Linked DNA regions of Lonchura striata. The protein of the gene in region 3 interacts with the protein of the main gene of each other region in a pairwise test. Links are inferred from orthologs where the notes say so. Each region holds a gene or a part of one and is shown on either strand. Other genes may lie near its edges. The genes, in order: GIT1, SH2D1A and ARHGEF7.

Region 1 (6,474 bases), on a different chromosome or scaffold from region 3:
TAGTGCCCGTTCTTGTGGTCTGCACAAAGAGAGGGGTGGTGAGCAGGGCCACGTGCTCCCTCCAGGGTGACCCCCTCACCCCAGGACCCCCTCTCTCACCCGGCTTCCTGCCGCAGAGGTAGAAGGCCAGCCGGTCGGTCAGCTCGTACTGGCACTCCACCAGCCGCTCCGCCAGCTCGTGCTGGGCTGCCTGCCTGTGGGAGGGCCGGCAGGGGTGATGCCCACCCTAGGTGGGGGTGCAGGCAGGGGTCACCCCCTTCCCTGCCCTCACCTGGCATAGTCAATGGGCGTCCGGCCGTTCACATCGGGCGCCCCAGGGTCGGCACCGTAGACCACCAGCAGCTCTGCCTGCAGGATCTGCCCGGCCTTGGCGGCCACGTGTAGCGGTGTGGTGCCCTTCTCCTGCGGGCATGGGCAGCCTCAGCCCTGCAGCCTGCACGTGGCGTGAGGCTCCAGGACCCCCCTGGGCCCCACTCCACCTCTGGGGTCCCTGGGCCCCACCAGAGCTCACCGGGTGGAAGAAGTTGGCCTGGGCACCCAGCGAGAGCAGGCGCAAGCAGGTCTCCAGGTTACCCGTCCGCACGCTCGAGTGCAATTGCTGCAGAGGAGAGAGCTGGTAATGGGGGGATCTGTCCTCACTGCCATAGTGGGGGTCCCTGAGCCGCCACTCCACCTTGCTGAGGTCCTTGGCAGTGACACCGTCATCATCCCGGCAGGGCAGCTTGTGGACGAAGGCCAGCATCTGGTACTTGGCACGGATGAACTCCGACTTGGTGGGGCTGGGTGTGAGCAGTGGGTTTTGGGTGAGGAGGGGGCTTGCAGCCAGTGCTGACCCCCTCCCCACAGCACAGGGGACACTTACTGCACTTTGTCCTGGGGGTTTGCCTTCCGGCGCCCGCTCTGCACCTGCGCTGGATCCAGCAGCGAGTGCTCCCAGATGGAGTTGGCCCCGTTGCTCGCCAAGGTGTGCACCATCTGCAGGGGACAGGCAGGGCCCAGTGGGCGGGGGGGGGGGTCCCAGTGCGCATCTCCCCCCGTTCCAGTGTCCCCAGCACCCACCTGGAGCAGGGTGGCGGGCCAGGGGCTGTGGCGCAGGTGCTTGACGATGGAGATGTGGCGGCCCAGGCTGCGGTGCACGCTGCAGCACTCGTCGCAGATGAGCACCCCGCGGTTGATCGACGCCCAGCCAGGGTCTGGGGGTGGCATGGGGGTGTCAGCGGGTGTCCCCTCCCCGTGCGGTCCCCTCCTCATGCATCCATCCAGCAGGGGGGATGCGTTGCCACAGCAACCATTTCCCGGGAGATGGAGAGGGGCTCGGCCCATCACCAGGGGAAACCCACGGGTTTCCCATAGCAACCGCCAGCCAAAAGGGGGGCAGGGTTTGGCCCCCCACCATCAGGAGGACAGCTGGTGGCAGGGATGATGCCAGCACACTCTGATCAGGGGCACCCTGGCTCACTGCGAGGTCACTCACCCCCGGAGCCCCTGGCTGGGTGTTGGGGGGTCCTGGATGGGGGCAGTGTGTCCCACAAGGGGTGGGCACCCCCAGTCCATGGGCTCCTAGGTAGGGTGGTCACCAGCTCTGCACCCTCAGCTCCGCAGCGCAGCCAGCCCACAGGACACCCCAGCCCCGGGGCAGGTGCCATGGCCCCCCAGGCTGCCGTGCCCCTCCAGCCCCGCCGCTGGCCCCGGCCGGCTGGACTGGAGCCCTTTGTGTCCCCGCTGGGAACAAAGGATCGTTTGAGCAGCCGCGCTGGCCCCGCGCTGGCACCAGCCCCGGCACCCGCGGGGGCACCGCTCCCGGCCAGGCAGCGGCTCCCCACGCCTGCACCCCAAAAACAGGTCCTGGGGACGAGGGGGCCTGGCCCCGTGGTGTGGCCGTTGAGCTGCAGCTGTTCACAGCAGCATGAGGACAGGATTTGGGGACCCCCGCTGGGTCACAGCCCCTCTCCCCCCCGGGAAAGGCAGCCAGGCACGGATGCTGAATCGCTGAATCGTTCCCAGGTGTCCCCTCCGCCAGGCACGACGGGGCAGTCCTGCCACCCTCTGCCCAGCCCCACCCCATCCCCTCGTTTCTGTAGGTCCTACACAAACGCCACACTGTCCCACGGCGGGGGGCAGCCCCACGCCCGGGGATACAGGGCCTGGGGAGGTGACCACACTGACCTGCCCGATGGCCCTGAGCCCCCAGTGGCCCCACGACCTCACAGAGAGAGGAAGGCAGGCAAGCAGCCAAGCCTCCCCCACTTCCTTCCTCCCTGCAGGGTCCCGGACCCCTCCCCACGCACCCCCCCAGAGCCCTGAGGACACCGTGCTGGGGGGCACGGCATCCTGCCATGCTGCAGTGCCCCGGGGCCGGGGTGGGGTGGCCCGGGGGGAGCGGTGGCCCCCCCAGCCTGGCAGCCCCTCGCACGCAGATGGCAGCGCCTTGGCAGCCGGTGCGGCGGCATCTGCGCCTTCGCACCCGCTGCCCACGGCCACCGCCGGGAACAGGACGCTCCGTGCGGGGGGAGCCGGCCCCTCCAAGCGGGTGGATCCAGAATATCCCTGGGGCAACAGCCCCTCCCACCCTAAAACCGCTGGGATGTGGTGGGATGCGGGCGGGCACTGCAGCAGATCGTGGAGTGCTCGCACAGGGACACTCCAAACCCTGGCAGGATCCTGGAGTCCAAGGGAGCTCGCAGCACCTCGATCCCCGCATCGGGATGTGCGCTGGCACCGGGACCGCCAGCGCTCGGCCCCGCACTGGCGATGGCAGGGCTGGGGCCAGCCGGCATCCCTGCGTGGGGCCGAGGGAGGCCGGGCACAGGGACCAGCGCATCCCACGGGCACCTCCCCACGCAGGGCCAGGCAGCGCATCCCCGGCAGCGACAGCGGGTGCTCCCAGCGCGCTAGGAAACGGCCTCTGGACTTTATAACTCATTTCCTCCCATGGCTGCCAGGCGATAAGAGATTGGAAGAGACTGGTTTCCATTTCCCCTGGCCGCAGAAGGGAGCCCCGGCACCGCCCCGGGAACCCCTGGCCCCCCGCTCGCCCGCCGGCACGGGGGATGCCAGGAGGCAGGGCAGCCTTTCGCCCACGCGTGCCGACAGCTCTCCTGGCAGGATCCGGCCATTGGCACGTGGCCGGAATAATTTCGGCACAGCCTTGGCCCGCGGGCAGCTTTCCGGGGCCGGCTCGGAGACCCGTTCATTCATTGCCGTGGGGCCACCTGCACCGGCTACGGGCAGGTTTGGGGTCCGGCCCTACCGTGGGCAGGGTTTGGGGGGCCAAACCCTCCGCGCGTGCCCAGCGTGGGGGCTGTGGGCACGGGCACCGCCGGGGATGGGAATGGTCTTGCCCAGGCTCGGCTCCGGCTTGCAGCGCGGCGGCCGCCGGGCTCACCCAACCGGCACCGCCAAGCCCGGATCCGGCTGGGGTGGGTGCCGGCTGTGGGGTGCAGGGTGTCCCCCATCATCCTGCCATTTACAGGGTCACCAGCGCTGCTGGCACCGACCGGCGCGCCCCCAGCCTGTGCCAGCAGCCCCCGCGCTGGGGTGAGAACGCCGTGGGTGGTGCAGGGGGGCGTGGGGCACACGGGGCGCGCTGGAGCGGCACGGAGGAGGGCATGCGGGGGTATCGGGGCTGCGTCTCGGGTGTATTCGGGCATTCCAGGAGGCTAAAAGGGGGTGCACCAACGGGGTCATGGGTTTCATCAAAGCGTTTCACTGGGGGCACATCAGAGGGCTCCTGGGGGGAAGGAGGGGGACTCCATGGGGCTCCCTCGGGTGCGCAGAGTGGGGCGCAGAAAGGAATCACCAGGGCGACCCTGGGGGCACTCAGGGAGGTGCAAAGGGGTCTCGATGTGGGGTGTAGAAGGAGATGCAAAAGGGGTCACGGGGAGCAGTCCGGGGGCAAGCACCCCGGGGTGCAGCGGGGGCTGGCGGGGCTGCGGGGCCGCCCCGGGGGCTCTCGGCGGCGCGGGGGGAGCGCAGGGCAGGCTCCGGGGGGCAGCAGGAGGCGCGGGGGGGCTGGCGGGGCCGTGCCGGTGCCGATGCGGGGGGGCCCTTACCTGGGGCGCTGCAGTCGGCGCACACCTCTGCCCGCGGCGCCTTCCGGGACATCCTCAGCGGCGAGGCGGGCCCGGGCCCGGGCCTCTGCGCCAGCGTGGGGCGGCGGCGGCGCCCCCGGGCCCGCCGGGGGAGCGGCGGCGGGGAAGGGGTGGGGGGGGCCGGGCAGCGGGGAGGGGGCGGCGGGGCCCGGGCGGCGGGGCCGGGGGCTGCCGGCTGCTCCCAGCGCCCGGCGGCTCCGCAGGAAGCGGCGCAGGCCCGGCCCCGGCGGAGGAGGGGCCGCACCGCCCCCGCCCCGCCACCGGCAGCGCCGCCGCGGCCGCCCCGCACCGGCACCGGCACCGCCCCGCACTCGCAGCCGCACCCGAACCCGCACCGGCGCCGGCACCGCCCCGCACCGGGACACGCACCGGGACCGCCCCCGCCCCGCACACGGACCCGGACGCGCACAAGAATTCGTGCGGACACCGGCACCGCTGCACACACCCGCACCGGCGCCGCCCCCGACCCGCACCCGCACCTGCAAACGCCCCCCGGACAGCCCGGTCCCGGACCGGGGCACCTCACCTGCTCCTGGGCGTCAGCACTGCCCTTGCTCTGATCCCGGGCATCCCCTAGCCCTGACCCCGTGCCCGTCCTCGGTGCACTCCCGGTCCCATTTTCATTTTGTCCTGGTCCTCCTCCCCGCCCTTGTCCTGTTTATCCTGGAGGGGTGGCACTGATCTCATTCCTGTACCGGGTCCCGTGTACCCCCAGTCCCAGCCCAGGGCACCCCCAAATTGCTGCAGTCCTGCTCTGGACACTTGTTCTGGATCCAGCCGCAGTCCTGGGGCAGCCCCAGCCCTCTTCCCCATGCCACCTCTGACGCTGTGTACCCCACTCCCGGACACACCCCTTCTCCAGGACACTGGGTTGGGCCACACACCCCTTTATGGTGCTCCACTGGGGATTTTGGGGGTGGGTGGGGAGGACTGGGGACTGTATGGGGTCTGCTCCCTCCTGCGACCCTTTAGGTACCAGAGGGGACACCGATGGGTGCCCCACAGCCAGCCGGGGGGGTCAGACCCCAGCAGGAGCGGGGTCGCATGGTGTCCCCCCGCCGTGGGGCAGGCGGGGTGGCCTCACCGCGGGCTGCTCACGACATCATGGGGCAGCGGGGACGGGGGATGCTGTGCGGGGACAGGGGCGGGGGGATGCGACCACCGCCACGGCCGAGCAGAGAACAACAGCGGGGGGCTCCTCCCATGGCAGGGTGGGGAGCAGCGGGGTGCGGGGCCGGGAGCGTGGCGCCGGCGGAGGCCGGGGCGGCCGCAGAGGCCCAGCCTTGCATTGTTCTCGGGCGGCAGCCGGAAAACGCGACGCCCGCCCGGGAGAGACGCGGGCGGAAAAGGAAACGGGGCTGGGGCCCCCGTGCCTGGTGCTGCGGGGCCGGGAGTCGGGGTCCCCCCACCTGGTCCCCACCTGCCGCCTTCACCCCTGCCCCACCATATGCCCGGGTCCGCTGCCCCACCGGGGGAGCGGAGATCAGCTGGGAAGGGGAAGATCAGCCTGGGAAAGGGGGCAATGTGGGGAGGATGCTAATCGCCAATGGGGCGCCCCTTCGCAGGTCCCCCCCGCGGGATCGGAAGCCGCGGTGATGGACTGAGCGGTGCGGGAGGGGGGGGCGAGGAAAGAGGAGGATGAAGATGAGGAAGGAGAAGGGGGCGATGCCGGGCAGGGCAACTACAAGTCCCATGAGGCCGGGCGGTGCGGGGGGGCCGGGGAAGCACCGGGCGGGAGGTGGTGGCCCGCCCCGCCCCGCGCCCCCCCGCCCCGCGCCGCGCCGCCCCGCGCCGCGCCCGCCGCGCCGCTCCAGCATGCACGGAGGATGCTCGCGTCTTGCTCGGGCAGGAAGGGGCCGGAGGGCAGGTACCCGCTGCACTACCTCGTCTGGCACAACCGCGCCCGTGACCTGGACCGGGAGCTCAGCGCCAAGCAGGTGGGGCGGCGCGGGGACACTCCCGGCACGGCCCGGCCCGGCCCGGCTCCGCTCGGGCTGATGCAATGCTCGGGGCCGGGGTGAGGATGAGGATGGAGATGAGGGGGGTGATAAGGATGGGGTCGCTCTCTGCGCTGGCGGGGCTCTGGGGGTGCGCTGTGTGTCCCCACCCGCACCCCGGGACTGTGCCCGCTGTCCCCGGGGCTGCCAGGGAGCGGTGGGTGCCACCCGCGGGTCCCCTGCATCCTCCAGCACACGCAGCCCCGAGCAGCCCTCCGCACGTGTCCCCGGCTCCCTGCTAGGCCTCTGCAGACCCCCGGCCCGCACCCCGCTTCTCAGGGTATTGCCAGCCCCCTGGGGGTGCAGCATCAGCTCCGCACCCTCAGGCTGAGCCCCTGGGGGCGGGGGGACAAGGGCCCTGATGCTGTCGGGGCGCAGCCCCCCAG
Region 2 (6,474 bases), on a different chromosome or scaffold from region 3:
CTTCCTACTCTTCCATGAATAGTTTAATTGTGGTCTTAAAATATTTTTGAAAGTGAGTCCTTTGTGCTTTGTCGCAGTCACACCAAGAAAATATTATTTGTGTCTTTGAAGGCTTTCAGGCACACCATGTGCACATCTCAGCTTCAGAAAGTGGAAAGTGGCATTCAAGGGAGATAAATCAGTAGCTCAGCAGAAACAAAGAGGAGAGAAAGCAGAGTTTTCTAGATGAATGCTCCAACAGGGTGCTGCCTGCTGCAGTTACCCACCTCTATAGGTCAGGTTTTATGCTACTACCTGTCTCTTTTATGCCTGCCCTGTAAAATCAGCATCAGTCACAAGGGATTCATGAAGTCTTTGACTCTTCTCCTTTTTAAAGGTCAGGGCTCCACTTTTTAATTGGAAAAGCAAAAGGTGAATGAGCCTGACCATGAACACTGCAGTACTCATTGTGTGCCTTAAGAGGCTCAAAGCCTGCCAAAATATGTCAGGGCTTTTTGGAGGTGCTTGAGGAGGAAGATGTGGTGGTGACTGTGGCATTACAAATTTATGCAGTTTCTTGGGGAAAGGAGACATTGTTTGAGCATAAGCATGCAGTGAAATCACAGGGCTTGACAATTACAGTACCTAGAGCTGGAACTGCAGAGTAGCCACTAATGTGAATTCAAGCAGATGACACCACTGTCATCCAAATATATGCTTAATTGCTCTTTTGATAAATATTTCTTTTCATCAGAACTGTGCCTTGTAATTCCCCGTTGACGGAAAAAGGAACCCTAAAAAGGGTTAGAACTGGGAAGCTGCAGGACTTTGTTTTGGTTTGTTTTAGTTCCCCAGGTAAGTGGAGGGAGAGGGGAAAGAAGACAGACTGAACATGTCTTGATTTTGGAAAACTGGACTAGTTTTCTCTTTTTGTTTTCTAATGGCAATAGAAACACTACCTACAGTATAAAACATACACACTTCTGGTAGAATTTTTCACTGGAAACATGCAAAATATTTTGTTTAGCTCTGATACTTATTGCAGTATATCTAATGGCTGATCAGCTTTATTCCCCATGTTTCAAAGATCACTTCATTACTTCTAGTAAATTAATCTTTTGTCTGATCTTTGTATGTCAATATATTCTTATAGTGATCTTCAGCATGGATTCTGAACTACAATGTAAACTGCTGAATAACTTTGTTATTCCTAATAATTTCCATTATTTATTTAGAATGAAGTACTTTAAAAAGCAGATAAATACTTATTCTTTCTTTAATTTTCTTAGAGAGTAAAAACAGCAACTGCACACTTCCCTCAGTTTTTACCAGAGCTGCCCTGCACATGCATGTTTGTCACCTATTCCATCTGTTCCCATGATGTTCAGACTGGAATTTGGACAGGTTATGTCCATTGGTTCCTTTGCCAAAGCCAGGCTCAGCATTCTCTACCAAATACGTATCTCCATCTCTCACACCTTCCCTTCCTGTTCCTCCAGTCTCTCCACTAAAGTGCTCTGCTTTGGCAAACTTTGCCTGTCAAAGCACTTCTCTAGTTTATAGCCCACAGTTCTTCAAACTGTCATTGCTCTCAGTGTGGGATCCTTTCCTGGTATAAAAACTGTCTCCACAGTTATTGTGTGACATGCTGTTTCCCATATCTGCTATTTCCTTACATAATTATTTGAACTGACTGTTAAGAAGCATTGGAACCAAGACTTAATTCTACCATTTTTTAGCCACCTTTCTTTCTGTATCAGTTCATACTCATCATAATATTTTTCATTTAGATTTTATCTATTTCAAATTTCTTTTATAGAATAACTATTAAGGATCTATGTTCTGAGCCTTCAGAACACTCACCATTAATATTTTTTTTGCTTTTACCCTTTTGTTTATCATACATATGTTTCAATGCAACATACCATGGAGATATGAATGGCCCATAATTTCAGAAGCAATTTGGTCTGTTTCTTACTGAAGTGTCTTTTCCTCCAAAGACTGCAGAGCTTCACAGTTAGAAATGCTTTAATTTCTTCCTATTCTCATATTCCATATTTTAGTAAATTAATTAAATTTCTTTCAAAGGGCATCAATTACTACCAGTATACAAAAAATCCCAACTGATTGTGTACTACTGAACGACCTTGTTACGTACCTACATCCTGATTAAGACTGATGGTGGACTAATTCTATTATTTTCTGTCTTATTCAGCATTGTAACACTCTTCCTGACCCTTTCTCTAATGCCTTAGTGTTTCACCTGCACTGAATGACTTCTGAGTGTAAGGCTGGTATATCCCCATTTCCTCTAATAGTTATTTTAAAGAGATTCTGGTTTTATTGCCTATTCCCATCACAGGAATCATAGCACTCCTCACGTCTTGCTATGTCTATTCCATTTTCATTTAACTTAAGATGCTTCTTATTTCCCATTTTTCAGCTCTCTGTTAAGGTATTTGTTAGCAGGAGCACCTAACTTGGTTCATCTGATTTCATGAGAGAAGAAAAAATACATCCTCTGCCACAAAGACTTTTCCTGAGAAGCGTATTGTGTATTTTTGGATTGCTATAACCTTCTTGCATGTCTCCATTTACTGGTCTATAACTGGAAGATAATGATGCTCACCCAGGGCTTAATTACATCTTGTCAGAAATGTATTCATGGGATCTGGGGAAAACCTGACTTAGGACCGTCTTCCTCTTTTTTGCCAGGTACCCGAGTTCCCTCTGTTAGCTGATTTCATGCTGCACCTAAAAGTGTTTTCTCTAGTGTTCCTTCCCCTACTGAAGTCAAGCATAAATGTCATCTTTGTTTTTCTGATGCAACAGTACGGTGTCACCAGGACTTCCAAGAATTTTGCCAACAGTACGGTAATTAAGTTTCCTCATTAAAATGAGGTCCTATGAATATAAAGTCCCCCAGCTCTCCCAGGGGAACCTTTGCCTTCTCTCGGACAGATCATCCCATCAGATCTCTCCCTTTTCATCTTATTTGATGAAACATTATCACCTAGTTTGTTACCATCAGTATTTTATGTCCATTACAGGTAGTTTGCTCCAAGCCTCGTGTCCTGTGGGACAAGCCACAAGCTTGTGGGACTGAGAGCATCCTGAACAAAGGCACATTCTGGATGGCAGCACTCGGTGTTACCTTTCCCAGTGACAGGGTGACCGGGGATGCTGCTGAGCACACCCATGAGCACACTAGGGAAGCAGAAGGACACAGGCAGAAGGCAAGAGGGTTACCAGCACAAAGAGGCAGTACACACCATCCTGAGCCAAGTCGCCTGGCATTTCTCCATGCACCTTGCTTATCCTTCCCATATGCCTGCCTGCTTCCTCTTTATGGCTTTTTGTCTGTGGGATGCATGGGCTCTGCAAGGCAAAACCCGCTCCTCTTTGCTTGGTGTGGGACCCCACACCACTTATTGCCCACCTCTATCCTGACCTGAAGGAGCCGAAAGCCTCACTCAGGTAAGCAGGTGGTAACACTGGAACACATTTTGTTGTGGGGGGCCTGTCGGCAGCCAGCTGCCCCTCAGCAGCCCTGGCGGCCCCGCTCCCGGCCCGCTCCCGGCCCCACTCACAGCACGCAGAGGCAGTACACCCCCGGGATGCTCTCGCTGTCCCGCAGCAGGTAGCTGCCGTCCGTGCCCGCCGCCAGCAGCAGCTTCTCCCCAGCCTCTCGGGTGATGGCCCCGTGGTAGACGGGCACCGTGTCCATGCCGGGCCCGTCCCGCTGCAGCCGTTCTCCCGGGCTTGGCGCTTCCTCCGAGCGCGCCCCAGCCGCGCGCTCCCTCAGCCTCCGCGTCTCGCCGGCAGATGTAAACAGGATGTGTTCACACCTCTGAAGCCTCTGCACGGGTGAGACGGCACTGAGGGAAGAGTGAGGAACGAGCACAGAATTTTTGTGGGTTTTTTTCCTGTTCCCCTTTCTGCCTTCCTTTTGCGTAGGCTGCACGGCTCTCGCGCCCTCAGAGCTCGCCTCGGAGGTGTCATTCACACCCACTCTGGCCATGTGGCGCTGCTCGGCGGGACGGCGCCGCTGAGGCGCGATGGCCGGGGCCGTGGCTGGGACGGCGAGGGCAGGACCGGGCGCTGCTGCCAGCGGCTGCGCCAGGCGCTTCCCTCTCCTGCTGCTAACCCGAGAGGATTGTTACTCCAAGGAGGGTTTGTTTCGGGTTTTTTAACCTCTTGTTTTTACAGTCCCCGGGGATGAGGCTAGAGGAAGTCAGCTGAGCTCGCTGTCTCACCAGAGCTGCAGGTGCCAGCACAGCCCCAGCTCCGCACCAGCTGCCGCGGTGCCACAGACACCAGCCCCGGCTGATTCACCTCGGGGGCTGCTTTCAAAGGCTTTGGTGCTGTTTAAGCACTGTTAATGTCACGGTGGTCACTTCTCTTTGCACACACAAGGAGACCCCTCACATCTTCCCAGATGCCACTGGTGCCAATGCTGCCTTCATGTGGGGCATGAACTGGCATCCAAAATCCCGAGCCATGTCTGAAAGAGCCATTTCTCTTCACCTGCTGTGACTGAAGACAATTCCTCAGTACTTGCCAACTGAATGCTCCCACACGCACATGCACAGCTGTTTGCAAACAAGCTGTCAATGTGCTTTAATGTGCCCCACAGATGTTTCCACCCCACAGATATTTCCACCCATGGAAGAACTGAGCATATTTCCATGGGCCTGCAGCAAGCTCAGGGCTAAATTCTTCCCTGGCATGAGGCTGGCACCCTCTCTTGAAGAGCCACCTTCCCACACCTGTGTGTGTGAGCAAGAAGTCACTTAAATATAGCAATAAGTATAGGTTGTGGTTATGATTGATTGCTTTTAAATTGAGTTTAGTAGCAGGACAGGACAGAATGAAATAATCTCATCCAGGTGCTCGCAGATGCTGTGTCCTTGTTGAAGTTAAGGATACATGAAAAAATAGCTTTTAAAATAGACACAGTTCAGGAAGAGAAATGAAATTTAAAAATAGCAAAAATAATGGCCGCTCTTTTTAAACTTCAATCAAAGTCTTTTCTCTCAACCATTTAACAGTGCAATGTCTTTACTTTTTGATCTTCAATATAGTTTTTCCTTGGAAATATTTTTTTTCAAACTAGCTTTAGTTTTTCCTTTTGAGGGATGGGTATTTCTGATCCCAGAGTCACAGGGTAGCTCGTGCATGGGGCACTGCACAAAGTCACTGATGGCAAAGCTGCAGCGTTTGAAGACCAAGAGCCTCTTTCCCCACAGGGAGACCTTGGCAAGTGACTGCCTCCTTGGCTGGCACTGAGAGGCTGAGAAAGCTGCAGAAATGTCAGCTGAAGAGAGACTGAAAACTCCCACCACCGAGTTTATGGTCTTTCTATCTCATTATGCAGGTATTCATTACCCCCTTTACGTGAATCTGGGGACTCAGACATCCTGCTTGGTGTTTTTAAACCAGTTGTTAAAGTATTTGCACATAAAGTAGCTGCTGCCTACTGCAAATCTGATTAATGTGGACAGCAACAAGCTGTAAAGCTGCTGCCTATTTCCAAACTACCTGTGCTCTTGGGGATTTCATCCAACTTTCCCATTTCTTAACCTATTCTCAATATTAATAGCTGATTTCAGAAAAAGTATGTGTGTAATTAGCTGGAGAGGAAAACCAGCCAGAATTATTTAATTCTGCAAATTTAATTGTCCCACTCATTAGATTTCAACTAAAGAAAATCATAAAACTTTTCACTGTGAGTTCCTCTGCTAATGTGGAGTCACCGCCTCACCCAGCCAACCTGCATTCTCCAGCACTTGGATGAAGAAGCATCTATTACTGTAAAACAGCTGTAAACACACAACTTTGCTAGTCTGGTTAAGAAATCTATAAAAGTCCAGCTACTGAATCTCAACCCCAGGCTTCCATACAAGTCCCTTTACGGCCCCACTGACTAGGGGAATTGCAGCTTTTAAGAAATCCTGGAAATCCTGTGTTTGGGAACAAGGGACAGTAACATTGAGGTACCTGTCAGGGACTGAAATGGTTCATGCCTTAAACATTGTTATGAAGCAGTTTTGCCCATTATAGCAAAAACTGTACAAAGAAGCTACAAGCACAGAAGCCCACCCCTCCCTAAAGATGCCTGACTGTAACTTTGGACCCTGAGGTAAGCCATATAGATAACATAAAGGGGACACTATTGTTCAATAATCTCAGGCTGAGGGAGAAGAATGAATCCACAAGAAAGCCAAACTCAGAAGCTGCATTGAAAATCGCCTCTGGCCATGTTTGGGGTGGGGGAGACCACAGCTTACAGAGGCCAGGTTTGCACAGACCCTCCCACAACTGAGGGCTGGGGAGGAGGCTTTTTGTGCATGGCATAAACTCTGGTCAGAGGCACTGAACAAAGAGGCCCAGCTGTGAAATCCCCAGCCCCACAGGCCACATGCGTGGGACATCCACATGGGAGGCAGCTGAGGGGGGTGTCATAATCCATCAAAGACCCCCCCCAAAGTGCTC
Region 3 (6,474 bases):
AAGGAATCATTATGACATTAAGTAAGAGTCCAAAACTAAGCAGCAGTCTGTAACAACATTACTTTTCAAGGTATTTTCACTCTGACTTAGAGAAATCTAGTGAATTTATTATCTGTCCTTTCCCATTCAAGATAGAAAATTATTATAATGTAAACAAATTCAACCAAAACTTCCTGGCAAGAAGCTTTGTGTGTTGTTCTGTGCAATGCTGGTATACAAATACACAACAACCTAAAGAAAGAATATACTAACCAGCTTTGAAACCCACTGATTTGTTTTATCAACTTATGAAAATTCTGTTCTTTGACCTTCAAGTGCTTGATTCCTTTTATGGTCGCACAATCTTTATTTATTAAAAATCTCCTACTACTTACTCTCAGGGTACCCAGAGGCTTTAAAAAGCACAAAATGTCAAAAAATGTATTACTACATTCCTGCATATATTGAATCTTCTTTCTAATCTGTTTTTGAAAGAAAGAAATACATTTATAGCATTTTTTTAGAAAACCTATTTAAAAGCACCCCAAGTAGATAGACATTCCTTCATATTTATGTTTTGTATTTTTTTTAATATTCCCTTTGGTTTTAGTTACTATTTTGTATTTACAGAAAAATGAGCTCTGTGAGTCTTCAGAGTATCTGCTAATGTCAGATATTTATAGAAAGTTACAATCTCAAAGGATTTTAAGAACTGAATCAGTCTACATCTGTCAGACATCCTTGTATCTTTTAAACTTAAACTGGAGATTTTCGGGGCAAATAAGGAATAAAAAGGCTCATATTTCAAATGCACTTAGTATTAAAAAAGTAACAAAGAGTAGTAGCCAAAAAGACTTGGAAAAACTACCATGGCACAATAAAGGATGTAAAATTTATGTCTGTTTACTAACAAACAAAGAAAGAGAATAAAGTAACACGGAAACAGCTCAGACATAACATAGATGAGAACGTGAAAGAGGTATGGGGTGTAAATTCTGAGTCTACAGAAAAAGAATATTTACAAAGTTAGGTGGAAAAATGAGTTTGTGAGTCTCTCAGACATATCTATGAATTAGAAAGTGCTTTGTGAATGGTCCAGGGAAATAAGAACAGTTACCCTTACAAAACCAAAGATCCTCCTAAAATAATTTTTTAAAATGTCTATTTCTCCCCAGACTTATAACTAAGTCAGAGCCAGAGGAAACACACAGGGGCAGCAGGGACGCCGGGGCGGCCGCCTGTCCCAGCGCCCTGCTCGGCGCGGGGCGAGCTCGGGGAGGTGGGAGGCTGCGAGGCGCCAGCCTTCCTCCCGCCTGGCTGCCAGCCCAGCCCGCACTGCTCCCGCTGCGAGCCCCGCGCTGCTGCAGCGCCAGGGCCACCGCGAGTCCCGCCGGCAGCTCCTCGCACCCAGGCTGCTCTCGTTGTTGGCTGTGCGGAGCTGCGCGCCTCTGTAAACCTTCCTCTGTGCTGTGAAGGGACCCCCACCCAAACATGAGAGGTGTTTGGTCCTCAGATAAAAAGAGAGTCTCTCATTCAATAACCGAGCTGTCCCAAACTATACTGTAACAGAGAAACACATTAAGTTGGGAAACACTCTTGTAACACTTATTTCTGTTCTGCTTTTTTGTTTATTGGTAGAGCCTCTTTCCCAGATTGAGTGCAGGACCCCACTTTACCAGGCTTGACATCTGCACAAAGGGGAAAGACCTTTTCTGCCCTAAAGCTAAGAACCCAAAGTCCAAGATGTGCTCAGGAAGCGTGCCTGGAGCAGCAGTGTGGGAAAGGCTCCCAAAACCCTCCTTGGGCTTGGTGCCACCAGGCAAAAGAGTCTGGGGACAAGGAGGCATGGGCGGAGCCTGTCAGAATCAGTGGATAGTCAGGTGGAGGAGCCCCCACTTACCCCAAGCCCCATGTCACGCGTGCCACCCTGGATTGCAGAACAGGACATTTACTGAATGGCAGAGCAGGACATTTACCTGCTCTGGAGCCCTACTTTGCAGCCCAGTGCACTGGACAACAGTTTGCACCTCATGTACCACCTCCACAAAGCTGCAGCCCCTTTAGGAGCAGGGGCATCCTCTTCAGCTCTACTGCCTGAACAGCCACTTACGGGGAAATGGTGGCGGGGAAAGCTGACAGCAGCAGTGGCAGGGGCTTCAGCTGTCCCAGCTAGTCCCCACTGGCCACCATGGTGATCCTTGAGTTAGCCACGCTCACACAGCCACCAACACACTGTGCCCGCTCTCATCACTTCCATCACCCGCCAAGAGCACTGCGGGCTCCTGTGAGGAGTCCACATCCCCGTACCACCTCCTGATGTACCTGTGAATCTGGGAGGCAGGAATGATCTACTAAATCCGCAGAATGGGACTCCAGTCCAGAGCCAAGACCTTCATGTACAACACAAAACAATAACAACTCCAGTGGGTGGCAAACTGAAGAACCGAAGTGGGACAGCCCAGCCCAGTGTCCTGCTAAGCTCAAGGCGCTGGTTACAACTTTGTGGGTCTGAGAACTACTCGAAATAGAGCCACAAAAGGTAACAAAAGCTCACTGTCAGCAGGCTCCAGCGAGTGGAATGCTCTGCCAACTGTTCTGCAAAAGGTGAAAAATACGGTGTTATTTTCAAGCAAGGAGTCATCCCATCATCATAGCAGATGACCTTCATCAATCTTCACTACCTTAGACTGGCACACGAGGAAAGATTTTTGTCAATATGTGGATCTCTGTGTGCACTATGTTACTAAACATCAGGTGAGACAACAGTACTGTCCCAAGTTTTGAGGCACAACCAAACCCCTTTGGTTGTCTTTTCCCTCTGGCTGAGCGACGACGGGAATTATGTACGCACACAGAACACATAGAAGTTACCTGACAGAGTACATTTTCTTCAAACAAAACACAAACTAGAGCTGTAACGCGTTTTTTCAGCACAAAAAAAAAAAAAAAAAAAAAAAAAAAAAAAAGGAGATTTTTTTTCCACAGGCTACCGAACAGTAAAGGACCCAAATAACGCTTAAGCAGCCTTCAAGAAAACTAAGCATCAAACGCTAAAATGTCCTTCAGAGGCTGGAAGGGATGAGCTGAATCACCTCCCAAGCGAGGTGAGGCACCGGCTGCTCCAGCAGTTGCGTAGATAAGTTTGCAGCCGGCTCGTGGCACGCAGGGCAGGGTCCATAGTCCACCCTCCAAAATTAATGCATCTCCCATGCACAGCCGGGACTCCGCTTTGGGAAGCGGAGCGTCCGTACAACACTTGCAGAACAGTGGCTCCTCACGGGGGTTCCCCTCCAGCCCGGCTGCCGCTCCCCGCTCTCCCCCGCCGGGGACCGGCCCCGCTCCGCCCCCCGCGCCCCCCACCGCCCTCCCCGGGCCCGGGGTCCCCCTCCGGAGCGGGGGGCGGCGCGGGCGGGGCCGGGGGCGGCGGGCCCGGCCGCACAAAGGGCGGCGGGGCGGGGGCCGCCGGGCACTTACTTTGTCTATGGTGCCCGGGAGCAGGCGGTCGAGCAGGCGGCACAGCACCACGCCATCCTTCAGGGAGGACTGAAGGAAGCCCTCGGGGTCGGAGATGGTCTTTTTGGGCGACTCCAGCACGCCCAGGGCGATCAGCCACGTAACGGTCTGCTCCGCCGAATTCATGGCGATGGCGGCGGCGGGCGGGGGTCGCGGCGCCCCGCGCCTCGCGTGGGTTTTGTGTGTCCCCCGGCGGGGGCTTCAGGCGGAGGCCGGCGGCGCCGCCCCCATGTGAATGCAGATGACGACGCCCCGGCCCCGCCGCTACAGACACATGCAGCTGCAGTGCCGCCTCCTCCCCGCCCCCCCGCCGCCGCCGCCGCCGCCGCCGCCGCCCCATGACATCACTGGCAGCGGCGGCGGCGGGGCCGCGCGCCCGCGGAGCCCCGCGCACCGCTCCGCGCCCGCTGCGCGCGCCGAGCGGCGGCCGGCGCGCGCCCCCTAGCGGGCGGGCGGCGCCTCCGCGGGCGCGCAGCGAGGCGGGAGCGGGAGCCGCCGGGCACCGCCGGCCGCGGGGAAAAGTTGCGGGATCCCCCGGCCCCTCATCTCCTCCTCGGACGGCGCCGTCGCGCAGAGAACGAACCCCCTCAAGCCTTCGGCGCCAGGCTCCGGGAGACTGGTTTCGGACCATCTCCCTCTGGGAGCGCCGGCAGCGGGCGCCGGCCCGACCGGCCGCAGTAACGCGATCTCTGCCTTTGCCCGTCGTTCCCTTGCAAGGAAACCCGTTTGCAGCCTCGGGCCAGCGGCCGGGTCGCGGGCTCGCCCCGGTGCGCGCCATCCCCGCCGTGCGCCTGCTGGGATGCTCCATCCCCGAGCGCCTCCCGCCAGCTTCCCCCCCGATGGTCTGCGGCACCGCCTGGGAAGCCAGCGTAAATACTCTACACAGAAGGACTGTGAAGACTAACCTGAAACAGAGCCCTCCTGTGCCTTTTATTCTGACAAAAGCCGTTCCTCAAGGATTTGCTTGGACGGGACACTATGAGCAATCAGTATTTTCTTTTTTGTTAGGAGCTGGCTGCTGTGGGCTCCCAGGGTCCCTCTGTTGCCATCAGCCTCGCACACGCCAGGAGAGGCGATACCACCACAGCCCCTGCTTTCCCTTCTCGCCCCATCTGACGCCCTTGAGGGGCAAAATGCCTACTCCAAAAGGCAAAGGCAGAGGCAACAATGCCAACCCAAACTCATCGCTGCTGTTCTGCTTCCAGCCTGGCGTACTGCATCCACCACCATCACAGTCCCTGAGCAGCAGCTCTGGTAGGTTCTTTTGACCCAGAATCTCCTACCAAATCACCAGCCAGCCCAGAAAGACAGAGGTGCATTTCAATTTGGTACAAGATAATCTAATTTCAACACTCAATCTCCTCCTAACCCATAATAGGTGCAGATTTTCTTAAATTCTTAAATTTCACATTTCAGGTAGATACCTCTTCCAAAATTTGTTTTTTGTTTTGCCCCTTGCTTTTTGGTCGAGGTGAGAGCAGCAGACTTGCCTCTGTCAGTATTAATGCCCACCCGGATTCAAGCAGGATGGGATAAACAAGTACAATGCACACAGCAATGGTCAGGTGCTCATTACATCAGCATCCCCAGCAGGGGTACCCCAGTAGCTTCCCGAGCAAGATGAGCAGCAAGTGGGGACCTCCCTGGCACTGGCCCATGATAGAAAACTATGGGCATGAGTTTATGAAACTTTTTATATGAGAGATGTGATGGGTACATGAACGAGGTGAAAAGTGCATGGCTGATTATAGCAGAGAACATGATACAAGACATGTTGTGGGAAAACCCATCCAAAGACAATGGAAATAACCATATATTACAACACAGAATAGTGATCTTAGCAAAGCATAAAGGGTTTCATGATAAGCAATATCTGGGTTATCACTGACATTCATCACCTATCTCCTCATCATTCTTCTGCACTTAACTGTACTGTCTTCCATATCTATTTTGAACAACAGCTTCTGATCCAATGATTTGTCAGCTATGAAGAACACAAACATGGCAGTTCTTTGCCATTGGAAAGCCATGTGGATAGATTGCTTGGAGACTTCTAAAAGAAGCTTGACACAGGTCAGGAAACCATTTCAAGATCTTTAAAGGAAAAAAATTAAAGTGCCCAAAAGATTTAGGAGCATGCCACTCCCTGCCTATATTCCTTTCTTGTCAGACTTTCCCCTACCAGGTATTTACTGCAAAGCACCTGAACTCTCTGCACAGCTCCCTTGTTTTATTCTTTCCTCCTGCATGTCCCAGTACTGTCCATTTGTACTAAAACCTTGTAGGACACACAGATATTTTGCATGTGCTGTCTAGCGAGTGGAGCCCATGCCATGGTGGGAGTTTTGAAGTAACACAAACAATGATACATACACTTATTGTAAGTCTGCACTCCTTCTTCCTCTTTGTTTCACAATTAAAGATGTTCTGATTCTCTTATGACCTGATTCTGATCCCACTGTTGCTTCTAAATCATAAACTCATGACATCTTTATTCAAACATCCATTTTGATAGTATTTAAATAGTATAAATTCTTTCTGAAAGATGGGATAGATTTTAACAACTTTCTTTTAGGGGATGAGGGATGATTTAAACTACTTTTTTTCCTGCAAAATATTTTAAATTTATGCAAAGCTGAAAAAGTAATTTTGGTACTGACTTTTATAAACAAGGGATATATATATATATGAAGCTTGTAGGTTCAGGTAACTTCCAGACCTTAAATCTGTTTACACAAGCAAAAAGATTCTGATATTTGGGGAATTTGGTGGGGGAGGAGGGGAAGGGGGAGGTGTCTCAGTTTAATACTGTCTGGACCTCTTTTGAACAAGAAAAAAATCATTGTTCTCTGAAATGCATCAGGCAGCTTTAGCAGAGATCTAGTAGATGTAACAGCACATAATTTTGTATACATAAAGATTAAGTGGTTGACAATTTATTTGGTCTTTTCCCAGCTTTTGCCATATTCTCATGAGAAGTTA

What was found.
Region 1: the proteins of ARHGEF7 (region 3) and GIT1 interact in binary tests that used the Homo sapiens proteins (3 or more experiments, as listed by UniProt). The link is inferred for Lonchura striata from reciprocal best matches to the Homo sapiens genes ARHGEF7 and GIT1.
Region 2: the proteins of ARHGEF7 (region 3) and SH2D1A interact in binary tests that used the Homo sapiens proteins (3 or more experiments, as listed by UniProt). The link is inferred for Lonchura striata from reciprocal best matches to the Homo sapiens genes ARHGEF7 and SH2D1A.

What each region holds. Positions count from the first base shown.
Region 1 is NC_134622.1:7,765,622-7,772,095, forward strand, and holds the start of GIT1 (ARF GTPase-activating protein GIT1), read right to left. Parts: upstream 4,159-6,474; 5' UTR 4,105-4,158; coding exon 4,053-4,104; intron 1,194-4,052; coding exon 1,060-1,193; intron 976-1,059; coding exon 863-975; intron 780-862; coding exon 674-779; intron 599-673; coding exon 512-598; intron 403-511; coding exon 272-402; intron 195-271; coding exon 100-194; intron 20-99; coding exon 1-19. UniProt on the Homo sapiens protein: GTPase-activating protein for ADP ribosylation factor family members, including ARF1.
Region 2 is NC_134616.1:9,953,192-9,959,665, reverse strand, and holds the start of SH2D1A (SH2 domain-containing protein 1A), read right to left. Parts: upstream 3,707-6,474; coding exon 3,570-3,706; intron 1-3,569.
Region 3 is NC_134604.1:92,628,222-92,634,695, forward strand, and holds the start of ARHGEF7 (rho guanine nucleotide exchange factor 7), read right to left. Parts: upstream 3,753-6,474; 5' UTR 3,619-3,752; coding exon 3,454-3,618; intron 1-3,453. UniProt on the Homo sapiens protein: Acts as a RAC1 guanine nucleotide exchange factor (GEF) and can induce membrane ruffling. Functions in cell migration, attachment and cell spreading. Promotes targeting of RAC1 to focal adhesions. May function as a positive regulator of apoptosis.